Pelodiscus sinensis: one gene and its partners. Each later gene encodes a partner of the first gene's protein in a complex. Links are inferred from orthologs where the notes say so. Each region holds a gene or a part of one and is shown in the gene's direction. Other genes may lie near its edges. The genes, in order: AP1G1, AP1S1 and AP1M1.

What was found.
Region 2: the proteins of AP1G1 (region 1) and AP1S1 are in contact, whole or in part, in a crystal structure (PDB 1W63), measured with the Mus musculus proteins. The link is inferred for Pelodiscus sinensis from reciprocal best matches to the Homo sapiens genes AP1G1 and AP1S1. Residues at the interface, in NP_001288140.1 of Mus musculus: Leu7, Arg8, Ile11, Arg12, Arg15, Leu54, Tyr55, His57, Met58, Gly60, Tyr61, Lys78, Phe79, Thr80, Arg83, Ile84, Leu87, Met90, Leu91, Asp94, Glu95, Thr115, Phe117, Leu123, Cys124, Gly127, Cys128, Tyr152, Lys155, Lys156; in NP_031483.1 of Mus musculus: Met1, Leu14, Arg15, Leu16, Gln17, Lys18, Trp19, Leu21, Ala22, Thr23, Asp25, Arg28, Lys29, Arg42, Lys45, Met46, Cys47, Ser48, Phe49, Glu51, Lys56, Gln74, Asp75, Asn76, Glu77, Leu78, Ile79, Leu81, Glu82, Leu83.
Region 3: the proteins of AP1G1 (region 1) and AP1M1 are in contact, whole or in part, in a cryo-EM structure (PDB 7R4H), measured with the Mus musculus proteins. The link is inferred for Pelodiscus sinensis from reciprocal best matches to the Homo sapiens genes AP1G1 and AP1M1. Residues at the interface, in NP_001288140.1 of Mus musculus: Arg24, Glu25, Gln28, Lys29, Ala32, Arg35, Ser36, Arg39, Glu40, His64, Phe65, Gln67, Leu68, Gln97, Val99; in NP_031482.1 of Mus musculus: Ser289, Asn318, Asp319, Ala320, Asp321, Ser322, Trp334, Pro336, Glu337, Asn338, Ser339, Gly361, Leu362, Pro363, Ser364, Val365, Glu366, Ala367, Glu368.

The regions. Positions count from the first base shown.
Region 1 is NW_027466015.1:561,345-565,087, reverse strand, and holds the start of AP1G1 (AP-1 complex subunit gamma-1), read left to right. Parts: upstream 1-823; 5' UTR 824-1,134; intron 1,135-3,743. UniProt on the Homo sapiens protein: Subunit of clathrin-associated adaptor protein complex 1 that plays a role in protein sorting in the late-Golgi/trans-Golgi network (TGN) and/or endosomes.
Region 2 is NC_134734.1:7,729,701-7,733,443, reverse strand, and holds the start of AP1S1 (AP-1 complex subunit sigma-1A), read left to right. Parts: upstream 1-1,583; 5' UTR 1,584-1,661; coding exon 1,662-1,742; intron 1,743-3,527; coding exon 3,528-3,706; intron 3,707-3,743. UniProt on the Homo sapiens protein: Subunit of clathrin-associated adaptor protein complex 1 that plays a role in protein sorting in the late-Golgi/trans-Golgi network (TGN) and/or endosomes.
Region 3 is NC_134729.1:31,353,968-31,357,710, reverse strand, and holds the start of AP1M1 (AP-1 complex subunit mu-1), read left to right. Parts: upstream 1-845; 5' UTR 846-989; coding exon 990-1,031; intron 1,032-1,401; exon of another isoform or gene 1,402-1,424; intron 1,425-2,763; coding exon 2,764-2,920; intron 2,921-3,375; coding exon 3,376-3,443; intron 3,444-3,743. UniProt on the Homo sapiens protein: Subunit of clathrin-associated adaptor protein complex 1 that plays a role in protein sorting in the trans-Golgi network (TGN) and endosomes.

The DNA.
Region 1 (3,743 bases):
TCCATCTAGCCCAGTATCCTGTCTGCCGACAGTGGTCAGCACCAGGTGCCCCAGAGAGGGTGGACCGAAGACAATGATCAAGTGATTTGTCTCCTGCCATCCCTCTCCAGCCTCTGACAAACAGAGGCCAAGGACACCATTTTATCCCCTGGCTAATAGCCTTTTATGGACCTAACCTCCATGAAATTATCTAGCTTCTCTTTAAACTCTATTATAGTCCTAGCCTTCACAGCCTCCTCTGGCAAGGAGTTCCACAGGTTGACTACACGCTGTGTGAAGAAGAACTTTCTGTTATTAGTTTTAAACCTGCTACCCATTAATTTCATTTGGTGTCCTCTAGTCCTTATGTTATGGGAACTAATAAATAAATTTTCTTTATCAGCCCTCTCCACACCACTCATGATTTTATAGACCTCTATCATATCCCCCCTCAGTCTCCTCTTTTCTAAACTGAAAAGTCCCAGTCGCTTTAACCTCTCTTCATATGGGACCCGTTCCAAACCCCTAATCATTTTAGTTGCCCTTTTCTGAACCCTTTCCAAGGCCAAAATATCTTTTTTGAGGTGAGGAGACCACATCTGTACACTGTATTCAAGATGTGGGCGTACCATAGTTTTATACAGGGGCAGTAAGATATTCTGGGTCTTATTTTCTATCCCTTTCCTAATAATTCCTAGCATCCTATTTGCCTTTTTGACCGCCGCTGCACACTGCGTGGACGTTTTCATTCCAGGGCCGGAACCTTCCTTCGCGGCGCCGGGCGGGCCCGGGCGCATCTCGCGGCAACACTCCGAGCGGGCACGAGAAGGTGTCTGACGTCATCATTGCCTGCCACGGCGCCGACTCAGCGCTCCTCGAACAGGAGTTTCACAGCTGCTTCCGCCTGGAAAAGTAGTTCCCAACGGCCGCTGTCCCGGTGCCCGCGAGCGGCCCGCTGCCCGGGAGAGCGATCGGCTGGGACCGCAGTGCCGGCGGGGCGCCCTCCCTCACGAGGTGGGGCCGGGAACGGCGAGGAGCCAGTCCCCGTCCTGCGGATCCCTACGCCTGCGGTATCGGTGCTGAGGCCGCGGAGCCGCCATTTTGGATGCCTGGCTCCTGCTACCGCCGCTTCCTCCGCTGCAGGGACCCGGCCCGGTGAGTGGGGGCGGGGGCGGGAAGGTCCAAGCGGCCCCGCAGCGCCCACGGCGGGACCCAGGCCCCGGCCCCCAGCGGCCCCGCTCGGCTCCCCCCCCCCCCGGGCTGGGCCCGTATCCCGCCCCCCCCCCGGGCTGGGCCCGTATCCCGCCCCGCTCGGCTCCCCCCCCCCCGGGCTGGGCCCGTATCCCGCCCCGCTCGGCTCCCCCCCCCCCGGGCTGGGCCCGTATCCCGCCCCGCTCGGCTCCCCCCCCCCCGGGCTGGGCCCGTATCCCGCCCCGCTCGGCTCCCCCCCCCCCGGGCTGGGCCCGTATCCCGCCCCGCTCGGCTCCCCCCCCCCCGGGCTGGGCCCGTATCCCGCCCCGCTCGGCTCCCCCCCCCGGGCTGGGCCCGTATCCCGCCCCGCTCGGCTCCCCCCCCCCCCCGGGCTGGGCCCGTATCCCGCCCCCCCCCCCCGGGCCCGTATCCCGCCCCGCTCGGCTCCCCCCCCCCGGGCTGGGCCCGTATCCCGCCCCGCTCGGCTCCCCCCCCCCCGGGCTGGGCCCGTATCCCGCCCCGCTCGGCTCCCCCCCCCCGGGCTGGGCCCGTATCCCGCCCCGCTCGGCTCCCCCCCCCGGGCTGGGCCCGTATCCCGCCCCCCCCCCCGGGCCCGTATCCCGCCCCGCTCGGCTCCCCCCCCCGGGCTGGGCCCGTATCCCGCCCCCCCCCCCGGGCCCGTATCCCGCCCCGCTCGGCTCCCCCCCCCGGGCTGGGCCCGTATCCCGCCCCGCTCGGCTGCACGCCCCCCCCCCCCCCCCCCCGGGCGCAGGGCCCCGGCCCGCTGGGGCCCTGGGCGCCGCCTCCGCCCCCCAGCGCCCCGCCGACAGCACCCGCCTCGCCCCTCTCAGCGCCTCTGGGTCCGCGCTGCGCCCCCTCAACTTCCCTGCAGGCAGCCGCACCGCCCCTCTCCCCGCACTGCCCGCACCCCGTCCCGCTGCTCTGCCCCTTCTCTTGATCTCCTGGAGTGGAGCCTGCTGCTCTGGCCCTGCTCTTCGCTGGCAGGTCGTTCGCCCCTGCGGCCCCGGGGTGGCAGCTCTCCTGTGCTAGCCCTTGGGGAAGAGCGCGTGTGTGTTCCTTTGGGGTGATGCTTGTGCACAGAGGGTAACACTGCACTCCTCCTCCTGTTTCCGAAGGTGAACGGAGTACTCTGCAGCTGTACTGCTCGAGGAGTTTTGTTTGTGCATAGCCCCATAATTATATCTATCTAGCTCTTGGCAGAGCAGACTGCCACAGTCCTGCCTAGACCAATTTACAGCAAGCTGCAGGTGCAGACTTTTGCTGCTGCTTCTTTAAGGGTTTGTTTAATTCTTTTTCAAATTATATGGCATTAGTTGTTGCTCGGGTGCTGATTCTTGGGTGTGGATTAATGCTTAAGTCTTTCCCAATATCAGACTTTGTCACTTTATACATTTTGATTTTTAAATGCTGTGGTGTTGTTTATTGCTGCACTTGATGTGTGACATGCTTGATGAAATGCTGTAGAAGCACTATGTCCTTTAAAGTGCTATATTGTCCTGCATTTTGCTTCAACTACCCCAGACTAACACGGCTACATTTCTATCACTATGTCCTTAGGAGAGATGGTGTATTGAGCAGAGCTTGACAAATGGGCTTGAAAAATATACTTGACACCTGCTTGCTTATTAGTCAGTGTGAAAAGTAATTCCGCTACCTTGGTTCCCTCCAGACCAAGCAATGCTGTAGTGCATTTTCACTGTAGTGAATTTTAAGTCAGTCTTCTATTTAGCATACTTTTACATAATAACTTTGTCTCCTGTTTGTATATTAACTTTTTTCCTTTTCTGGCTTCACTCCATTTTTCTCCCCTCTTTTCATTACTATATTATAGTGTATATTTTCTGGTTTTAATTGTCTGTTTTCTCTTTTCTTTCTCTTTTCCCCTCCCGCTACATCCCTTTCTCTCTTCATTTACACTGAACGCGCTACTGTTTGCACTTCAATTTTTTTCGCACTCAGTTGCCAGATTTTCTCTCATTTTCCTCACCCAAACTCTCTGCTGATCCATTCCCTCATCTACGGATCATGAAAACTTTATCAGACACCAAAGAGCTGGCAAGAGAGCTCAAATAAGATTGGAGACCCTGCTCTTGTCACCCCACAACACACTCCCTTTTCTCTCTCTCCCATATGCTGGGAGGGGAGGAGGTATTTAAATTACTAGAAAGACATGATTCCTGAATGTTTAGGAACTCCAAGTTCCCACTAGTAGGCTTATGATGAATTTGAGACTTCACCCAATAATCCTTTTCTTTTTCACATTCCTCTGCTTCCAACACAGTCCCCTGTCTGTTCCAAGGATAGGGTTTCTGCTAATCTAGCCCTTGCCTAGCTGCCTCCATGTTTTGGTGTCATAACTTCCCATGCTGTTGCTCTTTAGACTTGCCAAACAACAGAGGGACTATATATGATTCTTGTCAGCTTCATTGTTGCTCAGAGGGTTCTGAATAGCAGCAAAGGAAAACTGCTGAGACTGGTCACTTGTTACATCCTAGCTAGGCAAAGCTGTGAGCAGAACAGGAGGATTGGAGCTGTCAGTCTGCAGACTTATA
Region 2 (3,743 bases), on another chromosome or scaffold:
CTCGCCCACTCTTGGAGGTGGGGGGGGGGGGTTTGTTATCAGGAACCCTGTTCTCAGGAGTACTGGGAGGCCTGGACTGGGCATGAGTGTATGGAAGAGTAATATATTGTAGAGGATATAATATATTTCTAGCTTTGTTTGCATTTTTGAGGGGTAGGGGCAGGAATGTTGGGCCAGAGGGTGGATGGCTGAGGTATGGCCAGAGATGTTGCTATAACCTTTGTTCACTATAGGAAGCACAAACTAATCACCACCTCCTCCAAGATTTGTGTGGACAAACAGATGCAGTTACCTCTCCCTGAGGGCCTCTCAGTCAGCCACCCAGCCCTGAGCATGCTCCACTTCCTGCAAGAGCTGCTCTCTAGCAGCCAGACAGAGTCCTATTGCAGGGGGCCTTCTCTGCCTGCGTCACTCCCTGGCAGTACAGGAAGCTGGGTGAAGCAATCGGCACGTGTCCCCAGCAGTGCTGCACATGCAGATCAGGGTCAGGGGTTAGTTGCTCTCACCAGCCAGTACGCATCACCCCCCAAAAATCAGTGGATGTCTAAAAATAATCCAATGGTGGCTGGGTAAGGGACTGGCAGCTGAGGTATATCATTCCCTTCCACCCCCTTCTTTTTTCCTTCTCAACCCTAGCATTTTCCCCTTTGGCATTAAAGGAATAGTATGTGCTGTGGGAATCTAAATAGCCCACTACCACCTCCCAGACTCCATTGCAGTAGTGCCTTTAAAGTAATGTGTGCCTTTTCCCTATGCAAGCTGGGCAAGGGATGTGGGGGACCCCATAGATTTGCCTGACCTATATCCCTACTGCATGGAAGCAGGATTGCCCAACAGGAGCAGTGAGTTGTAAGGAACATGCTTGTGTGTGGGTGTGCATATGTATATTTTAATAAAATATCTATGGAAACATGGTGTGGTCCTTGCCTTGTGGCTGTGCCTGTTCCCTAGCCTGAGCCCTGGGCCCAGCCTGTGGGAAGGAGGCTGTAGCAAGATCTGATGAGCAGGCTCTGGGGCCAGCCATGCCCCATAGCAGTGGAGTGAGCACTGGCTGTAAGAGAGGAGCACACCTCTTCCAGGCCCTGCACCACCAGCCCCACAGGGGGGCCATGATCCCTCCCTGGACCGAGCTAGGTGCCAGGGATGTGCTAAGGCCCTTGGGATGGGCTCTGTGCCCCATGGGCCCCTTTGCTGGGCCTGGCTGGTTTTATTAAACTCACACTGCTCTGTGTTTCCCTCTCCACTCAGCCATGCTCCCTCCCCCGAGTCCCCTTCCTCATCCATGGCCCCCAGCCCTCCCCTCCTGACCGAGCCCTATCCACTCCCTCAAGCCCCCCAGATTCAGCCCCTCCCCTGGGGCCCCGCTCACTCCGCCTGCCTCACTGCAGAGCCCCGACCCTTCCTGCCCCCGCCCCTCCCTTTTGGTCTGTTGCCATGGATACATTCCCCCGTTCCCATGACACAGCACCCGCCCACCCTTGCTATGGGAGCGGCTCCCCTCCCACTCACTCTTGCCCCCGTTGCCATAGCACCAGCTCCCCGCCGCCTCCTTCTTGCCCCCGTTGCCACGGAAACGGCCCCGCCCTCTTCCTCCTGCCCCCATTGCCATAGGAACGCCTCCACCGCCCCTCCCGGAAGTAGCGCCTGTCCCGCACTGGCGCATGCGTAGCGCGGGGAGGCCGGGCCCGGCTCCGTACCTGGCCAGGTTGAGCGCGGCCCAGGGGCCGGGAGGCGGCGCCATGGTGAGGGGGCACCGGGGGGAGCTGGGCTGGAACCCAAGGGGGGCTGGGCTGGGGTCCCCCGAGACGGGGCTGGGCTGCAGCCCAAGTGGGGGGTCTGGGCCGGGGGAGCCGCTGGGGCACAGCGCCCGTGGCAGCGAGCTGGTGATGGGGCGGTTGCCAGGGGCTGTTTGTGCAGCTCAGTCCCATTCCCACAAGTGGGGGTTGGGGTGTATCTGCCAAACACGCTGCCTTTTGAACAGCTGCCCCCCTGCCCTTGGTCTTGACACAGCCACTAGATGGCTCCTATCTGGGACAAGGCTTCTCACTGTTGCCACTCCTAGTGTGGACAGCATCCGCACGCCAGAGGCAGGCTGGTGAGTGCGACTGAACCCCTGAGTTGAGGCAACGCACTAGGGGCTGCACCTGACATCCATGTTTGTAACCATGAGGGACAAGGCTGCTCCTGCCCCAGCATATGATGAGGCCCATGCACCCCCAGGCCTGGTGTAGTGCATGCAGGGGAATGCCAGTACCTGAGCTACTGTGTGTGAAGGCAGCTTGTGATTCTACTGGGAGATGGTTTTATGCCCTGTGGCAGCCCTTGGGGTAGACTGGACCTGAATGCCATGTGTCAGGAGCTGTGCATTTTGCATGGCAGGCATTGGGGTGGCATGTGCGATGCTGTGTTGATGCATGAGTCTCATGTGATGGTGCAGATGTGACGAGGAAGAGAGTCAAACTCCGGAGCAGCCCCAGGTGGAGCTAGAACCTGCATTGCCCATTTCAGGGTGTGTGTGTGTGTGTGAGCGGCCAGGATAGCTGACCTGCTGCGATGGGGCTATAGTGTTGCAGTCCTTAGTGTAGACAGCACCTGTACTGCAGAAGCGTTGCTTGCACTCATTGGCAGGGTTTCAGGGTCAGAGCCCATTTAAAAGCAGGAGCCATTGTGATCTGGAGAAGTGGGCTGCATAGGGTCACTGGGGTGGGGAGCCTGCCCCAGAAAACAGGCCTAGCAGGTTTGTTTCAGCGAGTTGCATGACTAACAGTGGTGACCAGGACAGGTCAGGTCCAGCTCAAACACTGGCATCTTCTTCCAGCTCCCTATGCTGGCACTGGATCCTAGGCCTGCTGTGCTCCATGCCTCCTTGTTAACTCCTCTGGGGCTCAGGCTGTGCCAGTTGTCATTAGTGTAATTAGCAGGGGTCAGGCCATGTACCTGTAGGCAGGGTAGGTGCTCACACCTTGCAGGGGCAGTGAGCCTGGTTTGGGGAATCCCATGGGATCTGACTGCATGGGGGGAAGGGACATCTGGTCCATCAGGGTGACCCCCAAAAGTGGCTCTCACCCCCATTTGGGACAGACAGTGCTAGGGTCTGAAAGGGACAGAGCCCAGGAGCCCTTACTCCCAGGCCCCACTCTCAAGCTTCCTAGTTACCCCTCACCCAAATTCCCTGTGTTCCCTGTCTCCACCTATCCCAGACCTGGGCTCACTGCTGTTATACTGGGTAGCCCCAGCCCGTGTCTGTCTGGGCACGTATGCCACGGCCATGCCCTGCTGGTGCTGCAGCCTGGGTGGGAAGGAGTGGCTTGGGGTTAGGGGATGGGCCCCATGGGGAGCTCTGCTCCCAGGCACACCCCTCTGCTTGGATTAGGGGCTTCCAGTGGCACCAGCTGTCACTTACGAGTCTCTGGCCCTTGCTGCCCCTGACTCTGGCTGTTCAGCTGCTTGTGGCACAGTGGGGAAAGTAGGGGCACAGGCCAGGGATGGGTTCAAACCCTTCACTGAGCCAGTCCCTCCCATGGCAGATGCGGTTCATGCTGCTATTCAGCCGGCAGGGGAAACTGCGGCTGCAGAAGTGGTATCTGGCCACCTCAGATAAGGAGAAGAAGAAGATGGTGCGGGAGCTCATGCAGGTGGTGCTGGCCCGCAAGCCCAAGATGTGCAGCTTCCTTGAGTGGCGGGACCTCAAGGTGGTCTACAAAAGGTGAGCCCTCCTCCCTCTCCAAGAAGCCGCCCTCCCC
Region 3 (3,743 bases), on another chromosome or scaffold:
CCTGTCATTGGAAGAAGTGGGTTGTGCCCTTGAAAGCTCATGATACCATCTACATGTTTTGTTAGTCTTTAAGATGCTATTAGACCGTTTGTTTATTTTTTTCAAAGGGGGACAGTTAGTGGCATCCAAAAGGCCAAATAAGGAGCAGAAGTGACCAAAAGCAGAGATGTGTGTGTGGGGGCAGAGATGTGTGTGTGTGTGTGTGTGTGTGTGTGTGTGTGTGTGTGTGTGTGTGTGTGTGTGTGGAGGCTTTATTGGGGCCACCCTTAAGATTTATGGGATCCTTCACACTACCATTAAAGTGAGGCTCCTATACCCGATGGCAGCTGGGTGTATGATTTTTTAGAGAGGTCATTTTCTAATCTTCAGTAACACTAATGAAAGCTAATAATAGGTCTGGCCGGCTTTTTCCGTGTTAATTAGATGCTCTCTGGAGGAAGCAGAGCCCCAGGACGGGGAGAAGAAGAGGCAGGTGGGTGGACATGAAGGGCCATGGGGTGACCCCATTTTTGGGGTGTCTTATGCAACTGCATATTCTGCACAGGGGTGAGGTCAGTGCATGCCACAAGAGGATGGGGGGAAGGGGCAGAAAAACCTGCTTCTGCCCCTAGCCTCTAAGACTCCCACAGGCCTAGGAACCAGGCCCAGGTCTGCAGGGCCATGTCCCTCCTGGGAAGAAGCCAGGCGCCAGCCTGTTCCTCCAGCTCTCTATGGGCCGCTCAGGCTAGCGCGCCGCTTTGCGTCCCCCCGGCGACGGGGACCATAGAGAGCGCGGGCCAGAAGGGCGGGGGTGCATCCGCTCCCTCAGTCGCTTCCGCCGCAGGGCGTGTTTCCGCGGGAAGGCCCCGCCCCCTTCGCTGGTGTCCCTCCGCCCTGCCAGAGGCCTCTTCCGCCCCTGCAGCTGGCCTAGCCGGTGGAGAGCGGCAGCCGGAGCGGCCGCGTTTCCGGCCAGGAGCGGGGCCGCAGCGGCGCCGAGCAGCCGGGGCGCGATGTCCGCCAGCGCCGTGTACGTGCTGGACCTGAAGGGCAAGGTGCGGAGCCGGGGCGGCCTGGCCTGGGGTTCCCGCGCTGGGCTCGGGCCCCTCCGCATCCCTAGGGGCCCGGCGGGAGGGCTCAGGCTCTGACACCCCCATGCTCCCTCCCCACCTCGCTCGGTGCGTCCCCCTCCCCCGCCTGGGGTGGGGACCCCGGTTCCTCCAGCCTGCCCTGGGGCCTCAGGCGTGCCGGGAGCCTGCCGAGAATGCTGCCTTGCTTCAGCCGGAAGCTTTGGGCTAGACTTTGTGCTGCTGATCAGCTGCAGTGGTGCAGGAAGTGCTGGTTTTGGTAGCTGGCTCCCTTCCTCCTCCCGCTCTCCCTTCTGGGGCCTTTTATCCTCTTCCTTCGTGAATAAAAACTCATGCAAGTGAAGTGGGTTTGATTTTGGGGTAAGTGAAATGGAGATCACCACTGCTTGTGGAAACTGAAGCTACAGAGACACTTTAGCTAACTTTCCATATTTCATCGTATTCCATTTTGGGGTAATTAGATTTGGGGTAATTTCCTCCAGGGTAGATTGTCAGAGACCCTGGAGGTTTTTCGCCTTCCTGTGTAGCATGGAGCACAGATCAGAGCTGGAGGATTCTCTGCATCTTGGGGTCTTCAAAGTATTTGAAGGCTTCAATATCTGAGACATAGGTGAAAGGATTATTCTAAGAGGTGTGGGTGAGATTCTGTGGCCTGCACTGTGCAGGGGGTCAGACTAGATGATCATAATGGTCCCTTCTGACCTTAAAGTCTATGAGATTCTGCATATTTAAGTACATTCTGAGGTTTTGTTCTATCATCTAAGTATATTCTGTTCCCAACATTGATATTAGGGATGTGAACGGGTAACTGGTTACCAGGTAAGCATCACACTTAGGCTACGTCTAGACTACACCTCTCTGTCGACAGAGAGATGTAGATTACGCATGTCAAAATTGCTAATGAAGCAGGCATTTAAATCTCCCGTGCTTCATTAGCATAAATATGGCTGCTGCTTTTTTTTTTTTAAAACTGAGCTTTTTCCAAAAAAAGGCAGTCTAGACGTGGATCTGTTGAAAATAAACCCGTTTTCGACAGATCCTGTAAACCTCATTTTTTGAGGAATACAGGATCTGTTGAAAAAGGGTTTATTTTCGACAGACCCTCATCTAGACGGAGCTTTTTTGAAAAAACGGCAATTTCGAGGGGGGGGGGGCGGGAGCGGTGGCCATATTTATACTAATCAAGCGCGTGTGATATTTAAATCCCTGCTTCATTAGCAGTTTCGATGTGCGTAATCTACATCTCTCTGTCAACAGAGAGGTGTAGTCTAGGCGTAGCCTTAATGGGTGATACTCTACTGGGTAATGGTTAACCATTACCTGGAAGAGGTCCGCTGGCTATTCCAACTCTGTGGGGCTGAAAGGGGGACTGTTGGCTCCCAGCCCTTGTGGGATTGTGGAGTGTGAGTTAGACTGTGTGCCCCCATTTAATCATTTACTTGTTAACTTAATGTTTAACTGGTTAACTAATTAAACATGATGTTCCATCCCTAATTGATACATGCTATTTAATAGCTGCTGAATGGATTCTAAAAGCTATGCTTAAGTTGCGAATGAAAGATTTCAATGTACAGTTTGTCATTCAGTTAGTGAAGAATTTTGGGGTTCCACTGCCTAAAAGTACTTCCCATGTGTCAGATGATAACTTCAGCATTTGTTTTTAAAACCTATTCAGATTTCTGTTGCATGTCTATTGCAGGTCCTCATCTGCCGGAATTACCGTGGAGATGTGGATATGTCTGAGGTGGAGCACTTCATGCCAATTCTTATGGAAAAAGAGGAGGAGGGAACACTTTCTCCCATTCTAGCTCATGGAGGAGTACGTTTTATGTGGATTAAACACAACAATTTATATCGTATCCTTTAAAGTGTCAAACTGTTAGTATGGTGAAACTGATGAACATGGTGGATTTTCAGAATTTGTACTTGAATGGAAGTAATAGGATAACAGGCTTACTGCTAAGAATTTTATTGATCAAGATTTACAAAGATGCAAAAAATATATAAATAGGAGTTTTTTCATGACATACCTTATTCCAGTAACGTGTATAAAAGTGTTAAAGTGCCAATTTAATATAAGTATTTCCTGAATTTTTAGTCCTCTGCCCCCAGGAGTTAAACCATCAAAAATAACATAAACCCCAGAATTTTCAATATCAAATGACTCTGGAAAGAGGAATGTCATTGCTGCTTCCTTAATATTTGGGCCAGCTGTAATAATATAGTAAATGCGTTTTGAAAATGTATTTAATTATAAGCATTTTTTAAAAAGTGTAACTTTAAACTCCAATTCCTGAACATACTTTTTCAGTTGTTGCTACTTCTAAGAAGAATGCTTGTGTCTCTCTGGTGTTTTCATTTCTTTACAAGGTGGTTCAGGTGAGTATGGAAGTGATATTTGTTCATATAACTAAACATATGTTTTATGTAGATATGGAAATCTTTTAATTATGTAGTGCTGTGCAGAAATGGCATATTTGGATTATAGGTGGTTATATAAAGATCTTTCAGTGTTCGTTTCTGATGTTTATTTTGTGCTGTACAGGACAAGGATACTGACAATCTTATAATAAACAGGCACAGAAAATGATACAACATGAAAGCTAGATTCAAATATTGTGAGCTTTGTGAGCATTGTTGAGGAAGCAGATTTTTAGGATGTATTTCATTAATACATGA